3 linked regions of the Drosophila melanogaster genome follow. The gene in region 3 interacts genetically with the main gene of each other region. Each region holds a gene or a part of one and is shown on either strand. Other genes may lie near its edges. The genes, in order: aux, bchs and or.

Region 1 (6,112 bases), on a different chromosome or scaffold from region 3:
GTCGACTTTAGAAAACTTAATAAAATGACAATGAAAGACAACTATCCTCTACCTCTTATAGATGACTTGTTAGATAGAATGAATGAGAAAACTGTTTTCACCAAACTCGATCTTAAAAACGGTTTTTTCCACGTGCATGTTAAAAAAGAATCAATAAAATACACCTCTTTCGTTACACCATTAGGCCAATACGAGTGGCTGCGAATGCCATTTGGCCTCAAAAACGCCCCGTCTGTGTTCCAAAGATTTGTTAACAAAATTTTTGCTGATATGATTAGAGAAAACAAAGTAGTAGTATATATGGACGACATTCTATTGGCAACCGAAAATATAAACGAACACTTAGAAACGTTGAAAGAAATTTTTAAAAGATTAGTTGAAAATAAACTTGAATTAAGAATAGACAAATGTGAGTTTATGCAATCGAGTATAAAATATCTTGGGTTCATAATAAATAAAGACGGCATAATGCCCAATGACAAAGGAATCGAGGCAATAAAAAATTTCCCAATACCTAATAATGCTCATACAGTACAAAGTTTTTTGGGATTATGCTCATATTTTCGACGGTTTATAAAAGATTTTTCTAGACTAGCTAAACCATTGCATGACATTCTAAAAAAAGATAAACCGTTCAAATTTGGTAGTGAAGAAATGATTTGTTTTAATATGTTAAAAGATAAATTAATACAGTCACCGGTCTTAGCTATATACAACCATAAACACGAAACAGAATTGCATTGTGATGCAAGTTCTTCTGGATTCGGTGCTGTACTTATGCAAAAGAAGGAGGACCAGAAATGGCACCCAGTTTCATTCTTTTCAAAACGGACAACAGATATTGAATCAAAATACCACAGTTTCGAGTTAGAAACTTTAGCCATTGTTTATTCGTTACGTAGATTTAGAGTTTATCTTCATTGGAGGACATTTAAAATAGTCACCGACTGCAACTCATTAATTTTGACCCTAAGCAAAAAAGAGCTAAACCCTAGGATAGCCAGGTGGGCTTTAGAATTCCAAGGTTATGATTTTGAAATTGTGCATAGGGCAGGTAGCCGCATGCAACATGTTGACGCACTGAGTAGGTGTACAAATATTATGGTAATACAAACAAACAGTTTCGAAGATAATCTAGTTATATGTCAAGGGAAAGATACAAAATTAAAAGAAATCAGGCAATTGTTAGAAAACACAGAAAATAAATTGTATGAGATGAGAAATGGTATAGTTTACAAAAAGACAAATGAAAATAGATTGCTGTTCTACGTTCCGATAGAAATGGAAGAACAAGTGTTATACAAATATCACAACGAACTTGGACACGTAGGAAGAGACAAAATGATAGAAGCTATAATGAAAAACTATTGGTTTCCAAATTTAAAACAGAAGTGTAGCACACATATCAGCAACTGTTTAAAATGTATTTCATTCAGTCCCAAAACAGGAAAAACAGAAGGATTTCTACACAACATACCTAAGGGAAACAAACCTTTTGAAATAATCCATATTGACCATTATGGTCCAGTAGACTTGGCTAGACCGAAGAAACATATTCTAGTGATAGTAGATGCATTCACAAAGTTTGTCAGACTATACGCAACAAAAACTACGAACACAAAAGAAGTCATACAATCGTTAAATGACTACTTCAGAGCATACAGTAGGCCTAAGTGTATCATATCAGATAGAGGAGCATGTTTCACGTCTGGCGATTTTGACTCATTTTTGAAAGAATGCAATGTTAAACACATAAAAATTGCAACAGGATCGCCACAAGCCAACGGTCAAGTTGAACGTATAAACCGAAGTCTTGGTCCAATGATTAGCAAGTTAATTGAACCTGATCAAGGTCTACACTGGGACTTAGTCTTAGAAAAGGTCGAATATACCCTGAACAATACACTACACCGCAGCATTAAACAGTATCCTAGCATAATGTTATTTGGGTTACAACAAAAAGGACAAATTATGGATGAGTTAAAAGAAAAAATTGAGGAAATTGGAGAAACGATTGAAGAAAGAGATTTAGAAAGTATTAGAAATAAAGGCGAGGCAAGTCAGAAAATAGCACAAGCATACAATAAAGAATATGTTGACAAAAAACGAAAACGATCAGGAGTGTTCACAAAAGGCGACTACGTCATGGTTAAAAATTTTGACTCAACAACAGGCATAGCTAAGAAGTTAATTCCAAAGCATAAAGGACCCTATGTCATAAGCAAAGTTCTCAAAAATGATCGCTTCCTTCTGGAAGATGTTGATGGATTTCAAATTTCTCGCAATCCTTACCGGGGTGTATGGAGCATACAGAATATAAAACACTGGCAAAGAAAAATTAAGAGTCTACAAAATAGAAAGTATAATTTGAGAAACTCTGTACAAAATAGAAAGTATAATTTGAGAAACTCTGTACAAAATAGAAAGTATAATTTAAGAAACTCTGTACGAAATAGAAAGTATAATTTAAGAAGCAATTGTAAAACAAAGAAAACAAACAAGAAGAAAAGAAAACCAAAAAAATGTTTAAGACCGTTCAAAAGTATCTCCACTAAGAAGAATAAAATAAGAAACAGGACCCTTAGCTTTAAGAAACGTTAATTGTTATAAAATCCTACGATCGGGAGATCTAGTTGTCAGGACGGCCGAGTTGTAGTAGGCTGCTCCTTCTACCCTCTTCCTTTACTCTTAGTCATACATACCTAATTATACATAGCCAATCTAGTCATAAGCTTATACACTCATACACCCATCCTTAACATACAAATATTATCGAGAAACTTATCGACTAATCGACTCGCCACTCTGCAGAGAGCGCGGCAGTCAGTCGCTGTTGAACCAAGCTAAAGGACAGATCAAAATAAAAGAGACACGTGAAATTGTATTAGAATATTAACTTCTGTAAACGGCGGCTAAAATTGTATTTTTTCTTATAACACACTTCAAAATAATTTCAACAGCCCGTTCATAAGGTACTAAAAAAAGATTTTACCATCCCTTTCGATGTGTTTTTTTCGATATAACCAGTCTCTGCCATCCATTGCTTTTTGTTTGTGCCGCAAGCTTCCAGTATTTATAAATTTCTGGTATCAAATTTCTGACGATAATAATAATAATATAATAATAATGGTTTTAATAAATTTATTAAAAATTAATTAAACTGGTTTCTTCCGCAACTTAGCTGACTTGGTATTAGAAATTAGGCGATAATCAACAAAAGTGGAAAACAAAAGTTAAGAATAGCTGTTAAAATAATGACGATTACCCGCTTCAGTGCTATTGCAATCAATATCCAATAAATAAGGAATGCTGGCTTAACAGATTTCCCGCGTGTTCTCAAATAAATTATTTACAGGCCAGGTATGGCTGCTCCTCTGCAGTTTGGCTGCTTTTGCGTGATGTGCTGGGTGCGTTGGGCTCAGAAAGCGAAACACCAAATAAATTGAAACTTTCGTTTGCACGCTACAGTTTTTACTTTGACGGAAACGATGCTGAAACGTCGAAAGCCGCATTTCCTGAGTAACAACGTGCTCTACCTAAGATCATTCATCTTCTGGTCGAATGAAACTGGAAAGTTCAACATTCAAAACAGAAGTAATCGATACCATAATTTGCATTAAATGAACCACAAATGAGAGATGAAAAATAAGATGATAAAGATTCGTCTAGAGATCTTTCTGTCTTTCTATTCTGCTGGGTAACGCTTTCTGTGAGCGGTCAATGCGACGATTACCGGCAATTCGATTTTCTCATCGGGCGTTGGCAAAGATATTACGCATACGCCTCGGTCACGCTAACGACAATCCAATAAGTAACTAATAAAGGAAAATTGGCCGACAAAAAGCTGAAAGAAACAATTAGGAAAATTGTAAATTGCGTTTTCAACTCAAACGCGGCCGCTAAAGTTCACGTCCGCCGCTACTATTGCCGCTGACAATGGAGCTCTGGGTGGCTAACCGAGCATTGCTCGTCGACGCAAATCGCTGCGCTCTGCTCGGCAAAACTTTCACTTTCAACTCGACTCGGCCAACTACATCGCTTTGCGCCTCTTCTCCAATACTCCTGCCTAAATCCACGCTATCGCTTCTTCCTATGACTTGGCTTGCTTGCAGGTGGCCATGAACCCTATTCCTAAAGATTACGCGGTCAGCAAATCGATTTATTGCTAGAAATCGGGACAAGGGCACAGCAAATACCTGTAAATTCTTTAGTGTTTTTCTTTGTTTCCAAAACATAGTTGCCAATTTTTCCATGATAAAATTGATTAGTATTAACCGATTTATTTTTATTTAATGATTGCAAAACTGTGCTACTAAATGCAATAGGTAGTCTTAAAATATTTCGGAATATCGACAGAATCTGGCAAGACAATTGTGTTAATTGTTCCCGAGACGAGATGTCATGCTGGCCAAGGTACTTCCTTAAATTGAAAATTAACTTCGCAAGACTAAACGTTATTATCGCCCTTTGTTCAAATTTGTCATGCACATAGAAATAATTACTAATTGTGCTAATAGCTGACACTTCAAATGAAAATGAAACATTCATTCGGAGGTTTATAATTTTTAAAGAAATCGAATAAAATGTACTCCCATTTGGACAAAACAGAATTTGTTTCGAAGAGCTTACTTTTACAATAGGTAGGCAAGCTTTACTTTCATTAGTATTTCAATAGTTTTTCGGAGAACCATTTTAAATAATTCTGAGAACACACTAGGCAAACAAGATAATTATACCACCTAATAGACCATGCTCATTGACAATCTCGATCGCATACCGATTCGACAAAGTTACCCTAAGAGCGTTAAAACTAGTTCCGAACTTGAACTGTACGGACTTTCAGGACTCTTTTCAGCCGTTCCGTCCTCTCCGGTCGGGAGACTTTGACAGAGTTGACACTGCAGTTAAATTTGGACAGCGGTCCGTCTTTTGGGTCACTGCTTACCGCTAAGAATTACGTCACTAACGCCATCTGAAGATTGTAGCGATGAGTAAGAGGCGGAAGCCAAGACATTCATCTCGAGCGTAGCCCACTGTTGCGGTCATAAGCGTCGCATAACAGCGGCTTGGGGACGAGTGATGAAATTTGAAATGCAGTCTGCACTTATAGTTTCCCTTGATTCGATTCGAGTCATGCAGAGAGCGATGTCTTTTGCATTCGGAATCCACTTAATCACGGGCTTACAGCCACGTTGCTTAGAATAGCTGCCCCGGCGAAACCAGCTCTCTCTGTGACCTAAAGAGGGGGAGGCTCAATTGGGCTTCCATTAACTTCTTGGGGCCCCTGTCAGGTGTCAATCAAGTCGAGTTTGCTCTGCAACGCGTCGGATATTGTGAGGCGGGCATACAACAAAGACTGAATTTAAATGGCGGCCACGCCTGCAATCGCTCACGCCTCCAGCTGGAGAGGTTGAACCCAAATCAAAGGGGTCGGTGGCACAAGTACACTGCGAGAATGAATATGATTCTTTCGGGGCTCAGCTCATACTTCAATTTACACGTCCCAGAGGGATTTGGACGTGGCCAGGGCTCGACCGGTACAGATATTACACATCAGCACAGCTACTTGGTGCTCCCCCTAACTCAGATTTTTTCCCGTGTAGCCCGCGTAGGCAATCGATTGTAATCGACGACGACGACGTTTTCTGTGCCTGCCAGCTGGTGCAGTGGCTGTCGCCACTGCCATGTGCGAAATGCAAATGCGAGGGGCGGCTAACGAAGCTAGTGCTGACTCGACCCGTAATATTTTACTTTTACTTTTTATGATTAACATTTCCCACCCAAGGTGGAGGGCCCAAAACGAGCTCTTTACTTATCCACACATTCGTATTTTCGTGGCGGACGATGCGCAATGAGATGAGAAATGCCGAGATCGTAACTTCCAAGATAGCTCGCCGCCGCGATGCCCAGCGTTAAATTATGTTTTTGTCTTTTAATTAACATTACTCGTGTTAGTCGCTTCCCTGCGCCCACCAACCCCCTCCCACTCGCCTCCCTTCTGGCACCGCTCCCACCTACCTACTTGGCCCTGGGTGTCGCAATTGAAAGTGAAACTCTGTTTCCTTTCGACTGCCAGTGGAGTCACAGGTTGGTGGGCCGATCTGGTCTCTTT
Region 2 (3,600 bases), on a different chromosome or scaffold from region 3:
GGAATATCCTTGGCCGCCGCCCGGGGTCTTGCCAATTTCGATACGCAAATGTTTCGCTCATTGTCAACAACAGCGTCGTGATGAAGTGGAGGACTCTGGGGCGAAAAATAAAAGTTATTCGTTCCGACAGAAAGGGGGAAGCCCCGCCTAATGAGTCCCCCATGAATGCTGTGCAAATGATTTTTGGGGTTACACTTTTAAATTTTCCGGAAACGCCTCGAGCAGCATATGCGGTCCTCGGAAAATTCACTTAAAAATCCACTTAAAATTTTGCTGGGTATTGCACTTCACCTTTAAAGGAAGATTAAGCGGATGAAATAGGCTGATGTCACTTTACTCATAAGAGTTTGTATGTAAATAGAATGTTCGCGCCAACTTCACGAGTTTTTTTTTTTAGTGCGCTATCAATCTACCGAATATCATTTTACTGGTCTACCCCTTCTTGGCACCTGAGATATTGTTCCCGTTTTTGTCAGTTGTAGGGGGCCTCTATTTATAACTGAAACGGAAAAATCCATTAGAATATTGCCGCAGACAAAGGACTTTCCCCACAACCCTGCCCCACAAATCGCGGTGGGGGGTTTGTCGGGCGGGAAAGTGCGCAAAGTACCTGTCTGGGTGGGAAGATATAATACCTGGAGAAGTGCCAATCCCAAACGCTTTCCCACATAAACAAGCATTAGGGAACTCCGAGCTTAGCTTATGTGGCTGGCTGGCTAGCTGGAAAACTGAAGAGGACTGTGGGAGCGGGTGGATACGGGCAGTCACGCAAGGGGTCAGTGGGCGTGGCGGGGCCAACGCCCAAAGGTAAACTATTTTTGGGGAGCGAGGCAGTTGGTCATGGGGATAACTACTAACTAAATATTTAGCACGACACGCCTTTATTCTTTTGCACCCCTAATTGATTCAAAAACGAAATTTTATCCGCATTAAAATGGGGAGACACAGCGAATTGGTTTCGGGTACAGGGAAATTAGATCAGAAGGACGTGCGTGGCATTTAATGGCCTTACCAATCAATCAATCCCAATAAACTTACAGCATTCTCTGCCACAAATGAGTCAGCAAATAGCATCATTATCAACGCATGAAGTTCGCCATCGGGTGTTCGTTCAATCAATATGCAAATAAATTTGTTGTCATATCCGACAGCTATCTGTTGATGCTGACAATTATAACAACTGTAAGTACAAACACAAATATTAATAACCCCTAGCCAGAATCAATAAAGAATCTCACACTCATGCGAATATTGGGCGAGAGAGAAATTTGGAAATTAATGGCCAATGGCCTAAGAATACCAATTGTTAGCCGAGATGCGAAAGCACTCATATAATATTATTAACAATAATGAACTTAATTATGAGCACACATGAACATTAAGTAAGTGCTAATTAAGTATCAATTTAGATGCTAAGTTTATGAGATAAATCAGTTTAGTTCTATTAAACTGTTGCCATTAGTTTAGTAAGCGATCTAATATATACAATCTGAAGATAAGCACATCGTTGGCGACATACAAAAGATTTTGTATTAAATAAAAATAATAAAATGAAGTAGATTAATACAAATCGGTCTTGTTTATTTGCTTATCAGTACAGTTGAATTTGAAATGCCAAAGCTAGACCGCCGATCATAATTCAAAATGCAGCACTGGCGTTTGGTCTTAATGAGCACTGGCTGCGGTGGTGGAAAATGTGAACAGCTGATACCACTGGCAGCGCTACGCAACACTCGACAGAATAACGAAAAGAGAGTACAGACGAAAAGCTGGAGAAAATTTGGTTCATATTTTCATACGTGAAACAAGATGTAAAACGAGTGCATTTAGGGCCCAAAATAGTGAAAACTCACACGGGAAACACAATGCTAGCGACGGATAGCAAAAGTAAGTGACGGCTGCACGAAATAAGCCGGAAAAGTGCATGTGAAAATTTTCAAATTCGACCTATCTGCTGGTTTGTTCAAGGGTGGGTGGCGGGCAGAGAGGCCGAGTGAGAGTACGCGAGAGAGGAAGAAAAATCAATAAAATTGTCGTGAGGCGCGATTGACTGGAGCAAAACAAAGTGCGACACGAAAGAGAGCGCTAAGCGGACTACGAAAAAGCAACAACAGAGCGGCCGTTAGCTGAACCAAATGCGTTGGCAGAAAAGAGAGGTCAGATAGTCGGTAGTTTCAAAGGGAGTTGGAGTAAACAAACAAGTGCGCAATAAGTAAACCAAGAACAGCTGTCTCGCACAAAATGTAAATATTTCCCGAATATATGGAATAATAACCACTATCGGTTAATCGCTTGCTCGCTATGTAGGCGTACGAATCGAATCGAGTCGGCGACAGAGGCAACGTTCATTCACTCGCGAAAAGTTAATACTCGCACCGAATACAATGATCGCACTTTTCGTGTGATTCACCTCCAGCGGCCGCTAATTAAGGCGGCGGCAGCAGAAATAGAATAGCTGCGAAAACAAGCCATAACGCCAACTGCACTGTGCGCGGTTGTGATTTGGAAGCCACTCAATTGAAAGTGTCAGTGCTGTGCAAATAAATCGCCAAAATATCTCACCTCCAATGTTCAAAAGATACAATATCTACAATAAGCACAGGTTCTATGGAAACATATGTTTAAATGCGAAGCGACACGTTTTGAACTGAAACCTGCATGAAAGTGGGAAAGTTCATTAAACTACAGCAGTAAAAAGTTTCAAAATACTATGAAATATCTTTTTACACCTTTATCGAATAATATATAATCTTTTTAAACGGCATAACATTGTAAACAAGTGAATCACCATTATTAAAACACATGTAGAAAGTGCCACCCCCTTGCAAAAAAATCAATGACATTCCTCATAGTACAGCCATTAGATTAGTCTTATATTTTGTATTAAGTCAACTTAATTTTCTCTCTTTTAGATTAATCTTACCGCAAATCAACAAACACAAAGATGAATGTAATGCGTAAGCTGCGCGGAGCGGCCAGCGCAGGCAGCGTCAGCGGCAGCAGTAGCGGAACCTCGACGGCGAACAACAGTTCACCAGGGAGCAGCAGAACGGATGCTGGTGCACCGACCGCTGCAAATGGACGGAATGCGGAGGAGGCGCTGATGGACGCCCGCGTCCAAGTGAGCCTCACCACGCTAAAGAAGCTATTCAACGAATACACTCATCCGCGGGAGCCGCTGAGCGAACAGGAGCGCGATGACAAGCTCTACGAGATGCTGCCCCTCTTCTGCAAAGTGAGTGAATCAGTCGGTATGGAGGAATAGGCCACTAACTCCCCATTCTTACAGGTCTTCAGCAGCTGTCCGTCAAACGACATGAGCGAAAAGTTCTGGGACGTGGTCGCCTTCTGCCAGCAAGTGTCCCGTCTCATGGTCAGCGAAATCCGCAAGCGCGCCTCCAACCAGAGCACAGAGGCGGCATCCATTGCCATAGTCAAGTTTCTCGAGGTGGAAACCACCGAGGAAACCAGCAGCGGATGGATGCTTTTGGCTACCCTCAATTTGTTGGCCAATGGAGACGTATCTCTCATACAGGTATGTTTCATTTATAAACTGCTATAGTATCTTATGGTAAAAATACATCGACGTAATCAAAACAA
Region 3 (5,798 bases):
TTCCGAATATGGAAAGGTTTAAAGGGCAGTTCCTGCACAGCCACGACTTCAGAAGTAGGGAGGTTTTCGAAGGTAATTAAGGAATAACTTCTATTAGGTTATTTCACATGGTGTTCCATTCTGCTCAAGGTAAATCCGTTCTGGTCATTGGAGCTGGTCCCAGTGGCATGGACCTGTCGAACATCATTTCCCGAACGGCGGATCGGGTCACCATAAGTCACCACTTGACCGATATCGGGCAACACTCATTCTTCGAGAACGTACAGCAGAAACCCGATGTGCGGGAGCTCGATGAGAAGGGAGCCTTTTTCGTGGACGGATCGTACCAGGAGTTCGACACCGTCTTCTTTTGCACAGGTTACAAGTACGCCTTTCCCTTCCTGACCGTCGACTCGGGCATCTATGTGGAGGACAACTACGTCCAGGAGCTGTACAAGCAGTGCATCAACATCAGGAACCCATCCATGGCTCTGATCGGACTGCCGTTTTACGTTTGTGCCGCCCAAATGATGGACATCCAAGCGAGGTTCATCATGAGCTACTACAACGGATCCAACGAGTTGCCGTCCACGGAGGATATGCTCAAGGACACCCGCGATAGGATGGGCAAACTGTGGGCGGAGGGACTAAGAAAACGCCATGCCCACATGCTGGGTCCCAAGCAAGTGCGATGCAAGTTGGCTTTACTTCTCTATCTGGTTATTAATTCTATTCTCATTTATTATCAAGATCGACTATTTCACGGACTTGTCGCAAACTGCAGGAGTTAAGAACATCAAGCCTGTGATGACCAAATTGCACAACGAAAGCAGCAAGTGCTTCAATGAGAATTTGCTCCACTTCCGGGAGGACAATTTCGCGATTCTGGACGACGAGACATTCATTAAACTCAACTAGATCCTGAATCAATCAATAGGAGCATTAGATTCCAAAACATCGTTTTTGGACTTCCCTTCGAAATAAAATAAATTTCCAATTCTTGTATTCCAAAACAACAGTTTAAAAAATGAGCTTTTATTCTCGAACAAAAACTTTTTGAACACCGGCAAACATTTGTTTGAACATGTTTGTTGGTATTTTTCCAAACAGCTGATTGCGGGCAGCGCACATTCACCAGCTCTGGCCACACTCGCCCGCCTCCTCGCAATCACCTTCTTGCATAATTTTCGGAACACCTCACTTCGCTTTCAAAGTTCGCTGATTTAGGTCGGGTCTTCAAAAGTGGAATAGCGCCTCGTCATGCAGTGTCCGTTCTTGAACCGCTTCACCGCCAGCTTCATCCGCAACTACGCGGAGACGCTGTGCCAATCCTACGGGAGCCACTGTCCCGTGGTTGGGAAGACCTTGGTATCCGGCGAGAAGAAACTTTCACTCGTCGCCGCAAGTGTTACAAGGTCTCACTCGACGGGGGCGAACGCCCACGCCAATGCTGGTGGCCCCGCAACTGCCAACGCCACCGCTCCCGTCTCCGCCCCCGCCTCTGCCGATCCTGGCAAGGCATCCGCCAAGGAGACCTTTCCCTACGAGCGCTTCTTCAACGAGCAGATCATGAAGAAGAAGCGGGACCATTCCTACAGGGTCTTCAAGAAGGTGAACCGCCTGGCAGGCGACGGGCTTTTCCCCCACGCCCTGGAGTACTCGGAGCGGACGGAAAAGCCCATTACGGTGTGGTGCTCCAATGACTACCTGGGAATGTCCGCCCACCCCGGCGTCAAGAGGGCCGTCCAGGACGCGCTCAATAGGCACGGATCGGGGGCTGGCGGCACCAGGAACATTTCGGGTAACTCTCTTCACCACGAGCGCCTCGAGAGTAAGCTGGCTGAGCTCCACCAGAAGGAGGCTGCGCTGCTGTTCACGTCGTGCTTCGTGGCCAACGATTCCACTCTCTTTACGCTCGCCAAGCTCTTACCTGGGTGCGAGATCTTCTCGGACGCAGGGAACCACGCTTCCATGATTATGGGCATACGGAACAGCGGGGTTCCCAAGCACATCTTCCGGCACAACGACGTGGACCACTTGCATCAGCTGCTGAAGCAGACGGACAAAAGCGTGCCCAAGATCGTCGCATTCGAGACGGTACATTCCATGACGGGGGCCATCTGCCCGCTCGAGGAGCTGCTTGACGTGGCCCACGAGCACGGGGCCATCACGTTCATCGACGAGGTGCACGCCGTGGGATTGTACGGTGACCACGGGGCCGGGGTCGGTGAGCGGGATGGTGTGCTGCACAAAATGGACATCATATCGGGCACCCTGGGCAAGGCGTTCGGTAATATTGGTGGCTACATAGCTGGCACCCATAACCTGGTCGACATGATTCGGTCGTATGCGGCCGGTTTCATCTTCACCACCTCACTACCGCCGACTGTACTGTGTGGCGCCCTGGAGGCCGTCAATATCCTGGCATCGGAGGAGGGTCGCCAGCTGCGCCACTTGCACCAACGGAACGTCTCCTACCTGAAGAGCCTGCTGAAGCGAGAAGGTAAGACGTAATTCTGGCATTTATGTAACTCGAATTGAAGGTTATTCTCGCACTTTCGTTTTATTTTAAGTGATGGCTATAAATATAGAAAGAGACACTTAACTTTCAGTTTACTGACTGCATATATAATTGGCCCCATTTCAGGTTTCCCCGTCGAAGAAACGCCCAGCCACATCATTCCCATTAAGATCGGAGACCCTCTGAAGAGCAGTCAAATCTCAAACGTGCTGATCGAACAATTCGGACACTACCTGCAGTCGATTAACTACCCAACCGTCGCCCGGGGCCAGGAGAAATTGCGGCTGGCCCCCACCCCGTTCCACACTTTTGAAATGATGAACGCCCTGGTTACCGATCTAAAGAAAGTGTGGGAAATGGTGGACCTCTCTACAAACGTCCCTCTTTCGCCCAACGCATGCATGTTCTGCAACTCGGAGAGCTGCTGGCACCAGGACACCTCCCCGGATCTGGAGTGTGGCATTCCCAACTGCCCTCGCCTGGAGATCTCGCTTGCAGCATAGTTGCCTCTTGGAAACACGACTATAAATGAAGCATTCGAATCATAAAGCTATGCCTAAATTATCTGTGCGGTTTTGGACAAATAAACAATGGTTTTGGTGCAATATACATAAATGACGAAATTTCAATTGGAATGGGCTAAGCTGATTGATGACGCTTCTATATGGGGTGATAAGACATGGACTAGAGTGTCACCTTCGCTATGAAGTTGCGTGTTTTTCGAGCCAGCTCCATGCAAATGATATTCAAATTGGGGAATCGCGTGGAAATATTTTCATTGAACCTTGATCCACACTCGTAAGCACTTAAAGGGCTTACCTAGTTTGAAATATTTATATGAAATTAGTCGCATATCAATTTCAGCAGTGGCAGGCTGAATCAGCACAATTATTGCTGATAACCATGACCATCCTATTACGGACCAATGTTTTTGATAATACCACAATAGATAATGATCCGATTTTATACACTTTGATTAGAGAAGATTTTGTACACATTTAGTAAGATCTATTGGGTCAGAGACTAGCCGAACAGCTGGAGATCGTAAACAATGATTCTACCAAATAGATCGGTGCTGGACTCGAAGACGAACTTTAGCTTTGAGCAGGGGTTTTCCCGGACTGATTCCGCAATCTGAAAAAGCTGTGGGGAGTTGATATCTTCTGGGTAGAATGGCTCTTGGTGAACTTGGGCTCCGTCAGCGGAGTACATGATCAGTTCGGATTTTTGGCCAGAGAATCCGCCTTGGAACTGGAAACTAAATCCAGCTACTTTCTGTGGCTCCTCCAAGCTAATGGTAATGAATTGGGGGGTTCCCTGAAATGGCCGTTTGGAGTTATATTCTTTTTTTCCAAATCTTAGGATGATACCTCATCTGAATTCCAAGAAGTTTCTTCCCGCGTATCAAACATGAATTGCTTTCCGTGCTGCTTCACATCTCTGTTTAAAACCGAGCTCACCCTGCAAACTATACGTTAACTAAAGGGAGTTACAAAATAAAACCCAGAGTACCTGCAGCTGTATTTTACTTTTGTCAAAATATTCATAATTCAATAAAAATAAGAAATAAACAAATCGGAGACCGCGAGGTTAAAGGCATTAGAGATGGGCAACAATCAGAAATCCATAGAATTTTTTTTTGTACGGATTTTTAACACCCGATTTAAGAAATTGCTTTAAAAAATATATTTTCCCTAACTTTCTAAAATATGCATGATTCTTATTAGATTTTTGAAATAAATACGTCAGATAAAGATATATCGATATTATAGATGCTATACCAAGTATTGATTTTGCAGCCCTCGTCGAAAAAGCAAAACAGCTGGCAGTTTAAACATTTTCATTTTTTTTGTTGACTTATCTTAGAAGTTGAGATGATAAAAGCCATTCTCGTTTTTAACAATCACGGGAAGCCGCGGCTATCGAAGTTCTATCAGTATTTCGTAAGTACTGCGACATATAATCCATATAATCTAGTTCATAATAAATTGTCACTATCATTTGTAGGATGAAAGCCTGCAGCAACAAATAATCAAAGAGACTTTCCAATTGGTGTCCAAGCGGGACGATAATGTTTGCAACTTTCTGGAGGGCGGAAGGTGAGCAATATTGTTCCCGCAAATTCCTGGAATATCTTAAAGCACCTCTTTCCTCCAACAGTTTGATTGGCGGATCGGATTACAAACTCATCTACAGACACTATGCCACGCTGTACTTCGTTTTCTGCGTGGACTCCTCGGAGAGCGAACTGGGAATCCTGGACCTGATTCAGGTGTTCGTGGAAACCCTCGACAAGTGCTTCGAAAACGTGTGTGAGCTGGACCTGATATTCCACGCCGATGCCGTCCACCACATCCTCTCAGGTTGGGAAAGCTACTTTGGCAATCCATTCAGATTCAGCTATCATGAATTCGTTTCAGAACTGGTAATGGGCGGAATGGTCCTGCAGACAAATATGAACGACATAATGGCCAGGATCGAGGAGCAGAACAAGATCGTCAAGCAGGAAGCGGGCATCTCGGCTGCACCTGCCCGAGCTGTGAGCGCCGTGAAGAGTATGAACATTCCGCAACAGATTAAAGACATCAAGCTACCTGATCTGCCGCAGGCCATTAAGGACTTTAAGTTCTGACAAATGTGCGTCTGATATAACTCTCTCGTCTAATTGTAATCTGTTGAATCTAGTGCTTTTTCGCAGTCCTTCATGAATTTCCAACAGCTGTCGACTGTTCCGTAATATTAGGTCCCACGTACTCTATATAACTCCCCTACCATAATAAAAATGCAAATGAATTACCAGTAGCGAGAACGAGCCTTACGATTTTGATAGCTTAACAATGCGAAGTTCAACCACTTCCGTTCTATATCGAATGGGGTTTAAAATGTACATACAAAGTGTCTTGCGATGACGTATTCGCATGATCTGTGTGCTGCATATATTAAAGATTTATACCTAAAACGGTGTCCGCTGTATTAAACATGTTCATAATTCTACAATCAACTGTTTGTAAGATCATCTTCTTCGCCGACTTCCAGCATAACTTGCATTATTTTCCGCTTCAGCCTCTTGCGCGAAACTTCAGAGTTCAGGTTACGGAATTCACTGGCGATTAGTTCGCCAAATGCGTCCCATTGATCACGACCACTTAATGGTAAGTGGAAGGGAGAGGGAGCAGCTGGAGCTTCGACAGTTCGATTTGGATCAACGAATTTGGAAGACGGCGCAGGTTCAGGAGGCATCGGAGGAATGGGTTCGCTGACCTTCGGAGGCTGACAGATTTCTGCATCGTTCTCTATG

Evidence for each region.
Region 1: of or (region 3) and aux, changing one enhances a phenotype caused by changing the other (phenotypic enhancement), as found in Drosophila melanogaster (one study listed by BioGRID).
Region 2: of or (region 3) and bchs, changing one enhances a phenotype caused by changing the other (phenotypic enhancement), as found in Drosophila melanogaster (one study listed by BioGRID).

The regions. Positions count from the first base shown.
Region 1 is NT_033777.3:4,208,727-4,214,838, forward strand, and holds the start of aux (auxilin), read left to right. Parts: upstream 1-3,056; 5' UTR 3,057-3,086; intron 3,087-3,181; 5' UTR 3,182-3,189; intron 3,190-6,112.
Region 2 is NT_033779.5:5,905,401-5,909,000, forward strand, and holds the start of bchs (blue cheese), read left to right. Parts: upstream 1-1,768; 5' UTR 1,769-1,887; intron 1,888-2,912; 5' UTR 2,913-2,944; coding exon 2,945-3,235; intron 3,236-3,289; coding exon 3,290-3,535; exon of another isoform or gene 3,536-3,600.
Region 3 is NT_033778.4:23,963,646-23,969,443, forward strand, and holds or (orange), read left to right. Parts: upstream 1-4,293; 5' UTR 4,294-4,374; coding exon 4,375-4,443; intron 4,444-4,507; coding exon 4,508-4,599; intron 4,600-4,660; coding exon 4,661-4,863; intron 4,864-4,920; coding exon 4,921-5,132; 3' UTR 5,133-5,298; downstream 5,299-5,798. Other genes in the region: Fmo-1 (Flavin-containing monooxygenase 1), read left to right, coding at 1-72, 130-665, 730-897; Alas (aminolevulinate synthase), read left to right, coding at 1,240-2,482, 2,627-3,003; CG34213 (uncharacterized protein), read right to left, coding at 3,524-3,817, 3,871-3,961, 4,013-4,047; CG10904 (uncharacterized protein), read right to left, coding at 5,498-5,798.